Linked DNA regions of Schizosaccharomyces pombe. The gene in region 1 interacts genetically with each later gene. Each region holds a gene or a part of one and is shown in the gene's direction. Other genes may lie near its edges. The genes, in order: dhp1 and pdc2.

Region 1 (7,236 bases):
TAAATTGATTCATCCAGGCATTGAACTTCTTACAAACATTATATTACGTAGATTTACGTGGAAAGGAATAAGAAAACAAATACAAGAATATGTACAGAACTGCCATACATGTCAAATAAACAAATCTAGGAATCATAAACCTTATGGACCTTTACAACCAATTCCCCCATCAGAAAGACCTTGGGAATCTTTATCAATGGATTTTATTACAGCTTTACCAGAATCATCTGGTTATAATGCACTTTTCGTGGTAGTTGACCGATTTTCAAAAATGGCAATCTTAGTACCTTGTACGAAATCCATTACAGCAGAGCAAACAGCTCGAATGTTTGATCAACGAGTTATTGCTTATTTCGGCAATCCAAAAGAAATCATTGCAGATAATGATCATATTTTTACTTCCCAAACGTGGAAAGATTTCGCACATAAATATAATTTCGTTATGAAATTTTCGTTACCATACAGACCACAAACTGATGGACAAACTGAGCGTACAAACCAAACTGTGGAGAAATTACTAAGATGTGTATGTAGCACACATCCAAATACATGGGTAGATCATATATCCCTAGTGCAACAATCTTACAACAATGCGATACATTCAGCAACTCAAATGACACCTTTTGAGATAGTACATCGCTATTCACCAGCTTTATCACCTTTAGAGTTACCTAGCTTTAGTGACAAAACTGACGAAAACTCTCAGGAAACGATCCAAGTATTTCAAACAGTTAAAGAACACTTGAATACAAACAACATAAAGATGAAAAAGTATTTCGATATGAAAATACAAGAAATTGAAGAATTTCAACCTGGAGACCTAGTTATGGTCAAAAGAACGAAAACAGGTTTTCTTCATAAATCCAATAAATTAGCACCTAGTTTTGCAGGACCGTTCTATGTGTTACAGAAGTCGGGTCCAAACAACTATGAATTGGATCTTCCAGATTCAATCAAGCACATGTTTTCATCTACTTTTCATGTTTCTCACCTAGAAAAGTATCGACATAATTCAGAACTCAATTACGCTACCATTGATGAGTCTGATATTGGAACAATTCTTCATATCCTAGAACATAAAAACAGAGAACAAGTACTCTACTTAAATGTCAAGTACATTTCGAATCTAAATCCGAGTACTATTATGTCAGGATGGACTACATTAGCTACAGCGCTACAAGCGGACAAAGCAATTGTCAATGATTATATTAAAAACAATAATCTAAATATCTGAGAACATATGACTTATCCTCAGATTTACATAGAAAATCTTGGGGAGGGCAATGTCAGCAATACTACACTACGCTATAATACACTACGTTGAGTATCACTATATGTCACATGTTCTAATTATATATCGTACCATGTATGATACGATATGGAGATTGATCTTAATGATAATCTATTAAGATCAATATTATCTGAATACTATAAATAGAGCTACTGCTGAACCTCGTTCCTCAGTTCAGTTATGAGCTATATTAGTGATAGGTAACATTATAACCCAGTTAATACAATACCTATACTCAGTTGCTACTTATACAACCTGTGTATTGTAATATAATAGATCACAAGGAAAACTCACCGCAGTTCTACGTATCCTTAAATCAGATACCAAACTGCGTAGCTTACACTTAAGAGACTAGATTTTAACTATTGTATAGCGAGTACGTTAGTAATTTCCAATTTACTCCAATGTGCGTTAAAAAATTTAGGTAGGACTGCGGAGACTACGCTAGATCTAGATTAAAATACCTAAATATTAAATCTTCAACTTATACTACACTCGTAGTCTTTAGTATCTAAAATTTACCAATTTGGGCTTTTTTGAAGCATTTGGTTTGGAGAAGATTTATTCGATTGAGTATTTTCTCCTTTACACCAAAAAATGGGTGTTCCAGCACTTTTCCGCCTTTTGTCGAGGAAATTCGCAAAGGTCATTACACCTGTTATTGAGGCTCCTACTGAAAAGCTTCCAGATGGTACTGAAATTGAACCAGATTTAAGTCTTCCCAATCCAAACGGAGTGGAATGCGACAACTTGTATTTGGATATGAATGGTATTGTTCATCCTTGTTCCCATCCTGAAGATCGCCCCGCTCCAGAGACTGAAGACGAGATGATGGTTGCTGTCTTTGAATACACGGATCGTATTCTTGCCATGGTTCGTCCTCGTCAGTTATTGTTCATTGCAATCGATGGCGTGGCTCCTAGAGCCAAAATGAATCAGCAGAGATCACGTCGTTTTCGTTCTTCTCGTGAAGCAGCTCTCAAAGAAGAAGAATTACAAGCCTTCATTGAGGAGGCAAAACAACAGGGAATTCCCATCGACGAAAACGCTACGAAGAAAAAATCTTGGGACAGTAATTGCATTACCCCCGGCACACCTTTCATGGACACTTTGGCCAAGTCTCTTCGTTACTACATAATAAATAAACTAAATAGTGATCCGTGCTGGAGAAATGTCAGATTTATACTTTCTGACGCCTCGGTTCCTGGTGAAGGTGAGCATAAGATCATGGAATTTATTCGATCTCAACGAGTGAAACCAGAGTATGATCCAAATACACACCACGTTGTTTACGGTTTAGATGCAGACCTAATTATGCTTGGTTTGGCTACTCATGAACCCCATTTTCGTGTATTGCGTGAAGATGTCTTCTTTCAACAAGGAAGTACTAAAAAGACAAAGGAAGAGCGTCTTGGCATCAAGAGACTTGATGATGTTTCTGAGACCAATAAGGTTCCTGTAAAAAAACCATTTATATGGCTCAACGTTAGCATTTTGAGGGAGTATCTAGAAGTGGAACTTTATGTCCCCAATTTACCTTTTCCATTTGACTTAGAACGTGCGATTGACGACTGGGTCTTCTTTATCTTTTTTGTGGGTAATGATTTTCTTCCTCATTTGCCTAGTTTAGATATTCGTGATGGTGCCGTAGAGCGGTTGACTGAAATATGGCGAGCTAGTCTTCCGCACATGGGTGGTTATCTTACTTTGGATGGTTCTGTTAATTTAGCTCGTGCTGAAGTCATTCTGAGTGCTGTAGGTAACCAGGAAGATGATATTTTTAAGCGTCTTAAACAGCAAGAAGATCGTCGTAACGAAAACTATAGACGCCGTCAACAACGCGAGTCAAATCAGGAATCAGAATCTTATGTTGACAACGTCGTAATTCAGCGTTCAGTTGAGACGCAATCGACAGAAGTTGTTACCTCTTCTAAATCAACTTCTGTTGATACTAAACCGCCAAAGAAAACTCAAAAAATTGACGCTCCGGCTCCAGTGGATTTGGTTAATTTGTCTGAAAAAACTTCAAATCGATCTCTAGGCGCTACTAATAGAGAATTAATTAATAATCGCGCTGCTAACCGTCTTGGACTTTCTAGGGAAGCAGCTGCTGTTTCTTCAGTTAACAAATTGGCGGCCTCTGCATTGAAAGCTCAGTTGGTTTCAAATGAGACACTACAAAATGTTCCTTTGGAAGACAGCATAGCTTCATCCAGTGCATATGAAGATACCGATAGTATTGAATCTAGTACCCCTGTTGTACATCCAATAGACACAAAAGTTTCAAATGTGGGTCAGAAGAGAAAGGCCCCAGATTCGACTGAAGAAAATGAAAATACTGATACAGTCCGCCTGTATGAGCCTGGATACCGCGAACGGTATTATGAACAAAAATTCCACATTTCACCCGATGAACCAGAAAAAATTCGTGAAGCTGTTAAACATTATGTTCATGGATTGTGCTGGGTTCTTTTGTATTATTATCAAGGCTGTCCATCTTGGACCTGGTATTATCCATATCATTATGCTCCTTTTGCCGCTGATTTCAAAGATTTGGCCTCCATAGATGTAAAATTTGAACTAAATCAACCCTTCAAGCCTTACGAACAATTACTAGGCGTTTTACCTGCTGCTAGTAAAAATAATTTACCTGAAAAATTGCAAACTCTTATGACTGATGAAAACTCTGAAATTATTGACTTTTACCCGGAAAATTTTACTATTGATTTAAACGGGAAAAAATTTGAATGGCAGGGAGTTGCTCTTTTACCATTTATAGATGAAAATCGGCTTTTGAATGCTGTATCAAAAATCTATCCTCAACTTACCGAGGAAGAGTCAAAAAGAAATGAGGATGGTTCTACTTTATTATTTATTTCTGAACATCATCCAATGTTTAGCGAACTTGTCAAACAACTTTACTCCAAGAAACGTCAAGGTAAACCACTTAAGTTATCCGGAAAGATGGCACATGGATTGTTTGGCAAAGTTAACACCAATGATTCCGTAATTCCCAATGTATCCGTTCAATGCCCAATTGATGTTACATCCGCTGACGCCCTTCAGAAGTATGGAAGCATAGATGATAATCAATCTATAAGTCTTGTGTTTGAAGTACCTAAATCGCATTTCGTACATAAATCCATGCTTTTAAGGGGAGTGAAAATGCCGAACAGGGTGTTAACCCCAGAAGATATCAACCAAGTACGTGCAGAGAGGAGCTTTTCTTCCCGCCGAAACAATGGTAATTCGTATCGTGGAGGACACCAAAGTTATGGTGTCCGACGCTCTTACCAATCGCAAAGTTACAGTAGTCGACAGAGCTACACTGGAGTTACTAATGGTTTTGCAAACGGTGGAGTTCAACCTCCTTGGTCTGGTAATGGCAATTTTCCTCGTTCTAATGCAAGCTATAACTCTCGCGGCGGCCACGAAGGATACGGCGGGCGCTCGAGAGGTGGTGGTTATTCGAATGGACCGCCAGCTGGTAACCACTATAGTAGTAATCGCGGAAAGGGTTACGGCTATCAGCGAGAATCCTATAACAATAATAACAGGAATGGCTACTATTAATACATTTAAGTTTTCTTAGTACAATTTTGAAAGCGGGTTTGGGATATTGGAGATAAATAATATATCTGATTATTTGAATTTCATTGGCACATTGCATAATTAGTTATGCAATTCAGTTACAAAATGCATGTTGATAACATAAAATTATACTCAACAACTATACCGATCTATTCCTCTTTCTTAAGAGCAGGTAATACTTCTGAATAAACATCAAAGCGGCGTTGAGTATAGATAGGAACGCTGTTTCGAGCGGTAGACATGACAGAGGGATCAATATCTGCGTAAACGATAGACGGTTTTTCATCAGTAGTAGCAATAACTTTTCCGAAAGGGTCTACAACAGTAGAATGTCCCCATGAATGATAGTCAGCGTTCATATCTCTAGCAGGGGCACAGCAAGCAACGAACATCTCATTATCAACTGCTCGGGCTCGTGCAAGTAGTTCCCAATGTAAAGGGCCTGTGGACAAATTAAATGCTCCAGGGTAAATCATCACACTACAGCCATTTCTAGCTGCTATCATAGCGAGTTCCGGAAATCGTATATCGTAACAAATACCCAAACCAAACTTCCCGTATTCAGTGTCAACCATAGTCATGGCGTCGCCAGGTGAAAGACTATCAGATTCGCGGAAGCTAACTCCACCAGGAATGTCAATATCGAATAAATGAATTTTCCGATGAACGGCTATCAATTTTCCAGAAGGATCAAACACCATTGCAGTGTTGTATAATTTGCCATCCTTGCGTTCAGGAATAGAACCGCCAAATAAGTAAGTCTTAGTATCCTACAGTACCGTTAGTCTCACATAATCAACGAAAATTAAATTAACAAACCTTTGCCATAGAGGATAAAGCTTGGTAAGAAGGAGATGATTCCTCTATAGGTTCAGCATACTGATTAAAGTAACCAGTACCATATGGTGAATTGAAAATTTCTGGTAATACAATGACATTAGAACCGTTTTTAGCGGCTTCCAATACTTTTAAACGAGCGAGTTGTAAATTTTCGCTCTTGTCTTTGGTATTGGCAAGCTGAACCAAGCCAATACGAAAAGCACGAAAATCTTTAGGAACCAGAGATGAAGCTGAGACAGACATGATGTTCCTTGTATAGCAAAAATTTAATGAAGGAAAAAAGGATCTTGTGCCTTTTTGAACGAGTCCAAAAAATTTACTGTTCATATAAACAATCACCGACTTGAAATTTTAGGTGAAGGAAGAGGAATGAGTAGAAAGCAAAGATACGAGGGAAGATGTCCTGATTTGTAGGCTAGTCTCAGAATATCTAGCTTGCGATAATTTTGAGCTCCAAAATATTATATTCCTGAAATCTCAATGTAACTTATTAAGCACGTGGCTAGCGAAATCCTCCAATCCAAATTACACCTTGTTATCAAAAAGAAATTTAGCAAGGTGATCAAACTTCCATGTCTTTGATAAGAAGAATGTCGACATCAAACTAGTTTTCAATCTATTGTAAATCTAAAGAAGAAAAAGGGATTTACATTCAAGCAGCAACTACACAAATAGAAATCGTTGTTTGAATGTTACGGAAGGCAAGACCAAAAAAATTGTTTTTGTTTATCTACAAGTTACAAAAGAATGATATTTATTACTGTGTCAACTAGTTTATAGGTAATGATAATATCGTCTGTCATTTTTAGAAAAAGGGGATTCAATTACTATAGATATTCAGTTGTTCCGAATGTGTTGAAAAATAAAATCTTAAGCGTCTTCGTTTCGCAAAAGAAGAAAATAAATGTTATAATAGCTCGAATGAACTGTTTGGCATACATGTTAATTTCACGTATATTGAATATTGATCTTGTTCAATAACAAATGAACTTATGGCATGCATAAGATCCATCAATCGAGAAGAGCCTAAAAATCGCATTTGAATGCGTATTTAAAGAAAGAATAGCTGTATCCTTAGTCAAAAAATTTTGTATTGAAAGAAAAAAGATTAAGAGTATAATGAAAATAAAGAGGAAAAGAAAGTTCGAAAACCAAAAGATGACCAAGAAAATAATGAGTAAATTACGTTGTTTAGCAAACAACCAAAATAAATTGCAATAATAAATTATAGAATTAACACATGATCCGAATAAGAGTAAAGCTGTGGAGATTAATAAGCTCTCCATTCAAATTCGTTGCGCTTCAAATCATGGAATTCACGGAAATCCGAAATGAAATGACACCTGAATAGATATTGAAATAGATGGTAAAAAGAAAGAATGAATTCGATTGGAAAAATGAACATAAAAGATGATTTGATGCAAAAAGTAAAAATGCTTCTCCCTACTCTTTCAAATACTTTGTAAATTGTTTTTGCGAAAGATATGATTGCATATCTGGACTTACATGCTCCG
Region 2 (5,458 bases), on another chromosome or scaffold:
CCTTTGTAGAAGCGATATCTGGACATTATTAACTAATGAATAAGCTGTAACTACTACTAGTAGTTCCTACATATTAGATACAAAATCCGTCTAAATTGGCAAAACTTTTTAAAAAAAAAGACCAAGTCTGTATTGCATCTATTTCTCTATTTCTCAATTGCCTTCTTGTATTTTTCGTTAGCTGTGTAAAATGCAGTGGCGCTTGTTTAATTTACGAGATAGAATTCTGTGCTAAATTAGTTCAAAATGAATAAATACGGTTAATGACAAAGAATTATACGATATAGACTTATTTAACAACTGGGAAATTCCTGTTGAACATATATGCTTGCAATATTAAAATTCAAAACAATCGTATACCACGAATTGATGCCACCAAGGTCTGTTTCATTGAAAGATGGAATGTAAAACGTAGTTCGAAAAAGTTGCATATTTCATCACAAGTGCTTACCAGCCAAAAAAAATTCAGTCTATCAGTTTCATAAGAAATTTCAACAGAACAATCTTGTGTGTCAAATTTTTATTCAGATACGTATTTCTTATTCATGCCAAGTATCACTGTAGTAGCTGGGAAATTTAGATGGTCCTAATCCCTAGAGATTCTCCTTATTCACATCCTCTTACATCAGTATCCAAACTATCCATAAGGCAACAAGTGATGAGTACTATTACCTTTTAGTAGTAGTATTTTTACATTAGAAAGGCCTCAAATTTTTATATATTGGGTTAAATTGTACAGTCCGCAAATAATTTAATTACATTTATTTCGCTAACATAACCCGTATAAGCACGTTTCATATTCTTGACATTATTGTGTAGCCTCAGGAATCGCTTCCAACGTTTATTATCATGGATTTTTTTTGGGAACGAATGTTAAATGATCCTCAAAACCATTTCAGTGATGACCAAAAGGAATTTCTAAATCATGCAAAATACCGTGTCAAAAGAAATACGATTTTTGGGATGCTAGTCGGGTTTTCTCTCCCATTATACTTAGGTATGAGATTTCGAACAAGCAATTGAAAATAACTTTCTTATTTTTTAGCTCGTAACAAAAAGGTTACTCCAATCCGCTTGTATGCAACATCAATTATAGGAGGTCTTGCTGGAAATGGGGTAAGTTTTAAGTAATACTAAGCTCAAGCTTACAAATTATGAATAGGTTGCTCAGATTACTACTCTGGCATACAATTTGTCGGCTATACGTCAAAGAGATGATGGCTTTGAAATACTTCGCAAAATACAAGACTCCCTTATTCGACAAAGAACAACGATGCGACAAGGCAGATTTCCTTCTTCATCTTCTGAATTCCCTCCAAAAAACTCAAAATATCAATTACCTGGAAGTATGCCGAATACTGGTGCCTCTTCTAGTCAAGATCCCTTTACGAATTCACAGAGTACGGAGAAAGAGGACGCCATGTACTCTAAAGACAATGGCTTTGAAGATCGATCAAAGCCAGCGTCAGCATGGGAAGCTATTCGTAACCGTAATCGAAATACCGGTAACAATTCTTTTCCATTTTACGAAGAAGACTCGAGTGTTAAATCCACAGATAGTGCTTTTAGTGGACAAGAAAATTCTGAAGCATTTCCTTCCCGAACTTCTAATCTAGGCTCTGAACAGTTGGATGAACCTATTTCTCACGAACAGGAGGCATTTGATCAATTGATCTGGAATGATTCATCGTCTTCCAAATAATTTCCTTTATCTCTACATGTTACGATAATTTAAAATTAATTTTTACCAATTTGAGTGTCACTGAATTTATGATGTAAAGTAGTTAAATTTAGTAGATATTTCTTTTTTTCTATACTGCATTGCCAGATTGATGTAGCTTGCTTGAGCAAGCAACTTATGTATGTTCATGCATAAATTTCGATACATTTCAGTCTTTCAAAAAGAGATAAATTTAAATTCATATTTATGATATACATCTATACGTGATAGGTTTTAATAGCTAGTCTTGAAGATTGATGTGAAATAAAATAGGGATAGATTTACTGGTATAGCAAACCAAATAACAACTTTAAAATTCAGATATAAAAAAAGAACGCAAAGTAAAAATATATATAAAACGCCATGAATCAGTCTGCGTCGAACCAACCCAATCTACTGTCATGAGTATTGTTGTATGCAGTGCCGCCCACCTAGCTACCACCAACTTCTCATTACCATAAACCCATAAAATGTCATTTTTTGGGTTTAATACTACCCTTCCAAAGGAAAATATGTTTCCTAACGAAGGGCAGTTAGAAGAGGATGGGTAAGTCGTTAATATTAATGTAAATATGATACTTTAAGCTCACAAGTATATTTAGCATTGACTTTGAGGAGACCTACGACGATTTGGGTAATCAATTAAATGAAGCCGGAGATGAACTAAACGACGAGACTTTTGGTGTTAGCGCTGGAAGTATAGGTATGTACCTTTGTGCTTGTGATTCTGTAATCATTCTCGGCTGTCATATCTGGGATATTGCAAGCTATTAGTATTTAATATTTTAATATTTTTTCTCACAATTCTAGGACGTGATTTTGATTTTTCAGGTACTACCGCTCAAGCATCTGCACAATTGGAAGATGAGCAGTACCAAATTAATCAACAAAATATTTTCGCTAAACCTGTCAAACCAGCTTCTTCAGAGTTACCTCAAGTTAGTAGACTTAATGGTGCTTCACAATTTCCTTCACGGGAACCTGCGTCTACTGCGATCAATAAGCTTTCCGATTTGCAGCCTATGGCTTCGATTTGGGAAAATATTGTTCCAGAAAAGCCGGCTATTATTCCACCTGAGGTAGCCTCTCTTCAAGATCGTTTGGGTGCCCAACCATCTGAGAAGGTTTTTAGCTTGCAGGAGTTGGAGGAACAGTTATTGAACTCAATGACCGCTCCAAAACCACCTTCTCAACCCGCTATTCCCATTGTTCCATCCGAAATGGCTGCTCAAGTAACTCGAGAAAACATCTCTTCATTGGACCCGGCGATTAGTGCGGCTAGTATTGGTAATGTTACTTTTGGTCAACCAAACATCCCTAGCACTACAACTGATTTTGCTGGATTAGCTGCTCCTAATATGGTACATCCTTCGCAAGCTATACCCAATCCTGTTATGCAACCTTCCCTTGTACCTCAAATGCCATATCCTCAAAACGGCATGTACAACCCAAGTGTTGCTCCTCCTGCTTCCCTTGTTAATCTTTTCCAGCAGGAACAATTAATTCAAAACCAGAACCTTGATGAAAAACGTCAAAAGTTAGAGCGTGATCATATGCTCATGGCTCAATGTGCTGGGTTAATGACACGCAGTGATAAATCGTTTATTGCGAGAATTCAAATATCGCAATTGATGTCGGAGGATCCCGAATCTGATGATTTTTATTATCGCGTTTACTCAATTATTCGAGGCCGCAAGCCTTCCGAGGAAGAAGCCAGTCATTTTATACAGACTTATCTAGGACCTAGCAATAATCGCCGTCGTGGTCGTCGCTCCGAAAATCCTATGCAGAAATTACAACAGCAACTTCAGCGTTTGGTTTCTTCTGCCAAAGAGCGCCCTAAGGCAACTCAGTTGTCTTTAGAAGGTGCTCTTGGTAAAATTGCTGTTAATACTGTTCGCACACCACGACAATTGTTGAATGTTAAACGTCCTACCGAACCAGCATCTTCAAATTCATCATTAAACAATTTTTCTGGATTTTCTACGAAGAAGGATGTATTGCACGCTATTGAGAAAGTTTATGACTTGTTGCTTGACTTTGAGCAAGCCCTCCGTAAAGCCTCAACGCTAGAAACTACCGATCAGGAGCAAATAGATACATGGAAAACTACTTTAAGCGAGAAATTGGAGTCCATTTGGAAGGCATTATACATAAATGAATCATTGGAAGCATCTTCTAAGACTAGGCCTCCATTCATTTCTATAATTTCTCACCCCAAAGGAATGAGGCTGCTACCTCGCTTGTTCCCACATTTGTCCAAAGAGCAACAAATTTCGATTTTAAAGGTCGTAGTTTACAATTTTGATTCTCTTGATATAGTCCTTAGGGGAACATTTGACGTTAACGGTGAGCTGCCTTTGGACGTTGTTTCCGAAATGAGTTCTTTCACGCAGTTCATCATCCCTCCATTGCTCACTATTGTTAATGAACTTGATTTGGAAACTATAAATAACTTATTTTCTCAACTTCTCAATCGCACTAATGCTGTTTATTTAATACAGACGAAGATTGGTTTGTCGTTCCTTACTCTATTCATTAGTCGCGCAGAAATTTTAAAGCAATCTGGCACTGTAAATCAAAATGAAAAAGAAGAATGGTACGTTATACATGTATTTACAGCATCTAACTATTTAGGGAAAATACATTCAATGTTATGTTTAATCGCGTAAAAGGTCATTTCTCGACGGTATTCCCACCACCTAACGCTCGAGCTTATGCTGATGAATCTTATCCATGGGAATTCTTAGCAGCTTGTGCTACTGCTGCTAGCTCTGAACAACATTTTACATTGGTTTCTGAAACTAGGTACGTTAAAATATGTCTAGTCGAGTTTTTGTACTAACAAATATGTAAAAAATAGGGACAGAGTACTTGATAACATCATTACTAGCAAACGGGCACCTTCTGAAATTGCTGTTGTGCGCATCAGCAATGTTAATTTGTTTTTAAATGCAATGGGGCTCGACGCTCGTCAGCTCAGCGCTTAAGTTTGTTTATAAGATATGCGGGTATTTTTTTTTTCAAAAGCTATATTTGCTGAGATTCCTGGATTCAGATTTATTAATTAGAGTATTCCCTGCTACTTAAAAAATGCATACGCTCTAATATAGATTTAAGTAAATTATGTCCTTTTTGAAAACGCTGAATATGAAATAAAATGTATTGAACGAGAAAGAAATTAATATAAAAAACGATAAGTATATAGACAAAAAGTTTATAGCACATATTTAATAGATTTGTGCATCAATAATACTAGCTGCCATTTTGATTCGTAGTTCAGGCATATCATTTTGACTAAACTGAACAGGAACATTTCTAGATACACATTCAGCAGTTTTACAAGCAAAAACTCCACAATCATGTCCATTTCGTTGTCTTGGAGAATTGTCATCCATAAAATTTTCCCAATCTGACACGTCGACGGCACCTTTTGTTTCTGCAATATAATAGTCGCGCAACAAATCAAAAACTTTACCAGGGCTTCCGGCCAGCGAGTCCCAGTATTCAAATCGTTTCTTCGATTTGTTAATAACAGCCATACACCAGTGGACATCCAGATGTACTGGTATAAATACAGCATCCATATCTGCAATATTAACGCGTGCCTTTTTGGCCCATCTTCGAACACCCGCGTATCCACGGCGCTGCAAAGATGTATAAAAAAAAGTATTAAACCCATGTACCCGAGGTAAGGATGAATCAATTTTAGAGCGTTCCGAAATCAAATTCATGTAA

Evidence for each region.
Region 2: mutations in dhp1 (region 1) and pdc2 are lethal when combined (synthetic lethality), as found in Schizosaccharomyces pombe (one study listed by BioGRID).

Annotation. Positions count from the first base shown.
Region 1 is NC_003424.3:3,355,545-3,362,780, reverse strand, and holds dhp1 (5'-3' exoribonuclease Dhp1), read left to right. Parts: upstream 1-1,777; 5' UTR 1,778-1,888; coding exon 1,889-4,864; 3' UTR 4,865-5,031; coding exon of another isoform or gene 5,032-5,652; 3' UTR 5,653-5,701; coding exon of another isoform or gene 5,702-6,049; 3' UTR 6,050-6,637; downstream 6,638-7,236. Other genes in the region: Tf2-4 (retrotransposable element/transposon Tf2-type), read left to right, coding at 1-1,234; SPOM_SPAC26A3.11 (mitochondrial omega-amidase), read right to left, coding at 5,032-5,652, 5,702-6,049; cnt6 (centaurin ADOP ribosylation factor GTPase-activating protein), read right to left, coding at 7,166-7,236. UniProt on the Schizosaccharomyces pombe protein: Possesses 5'->3' exoribonuclease activity. Required for the processing of nuclear mRNA and rRNA precursors. May promote the termination of transcription by RNA polymerase II. Essential for vegetative cell growth and chromosome segregation.
Region 2 is NC_003423.3:2,368,316-2,373,773, reverse strand, and holds pdc2 (topoisomerase II-associated deadenylation-dependent mRNA-decapping factor), read left to right. Parts: upstream 1-2,160; 5' UTR 2,161-2,190; coding exon 2,191-2,267; exon of another isoform or gene 2,268-2,322; coding exon 2,323-2,423; exon of another isoform or gene 2,424-2,530; coding exon 2,531-4,319; intron 4,320-4,357; coding exon 4,358-4,528; intron 4,529-4,580; exon of another isoform or gene 4,581-4,583; coding exon 4,584-4,710; 3' UTR 4,711-4,939; downstream 4,940-5,458. Other genes in the region: SPOM_SPBC19G7.18C (uncharacterized protein), read left to right, coding at 850-997, 1,046-1,116, 1,163-1,702; SUMO deconjugating enzyme Ulp1, read right to left, coding at 4,951-5,458. UniProt on the Schizosaccharomyces pombe protein: Activator of decapping that functions as a general and active mechanism of translational repression and required for P-body formation. Stabilizes the 3' terminus of mRNAs and modulates the rates of mRNA-decapping that occur following deadenylation.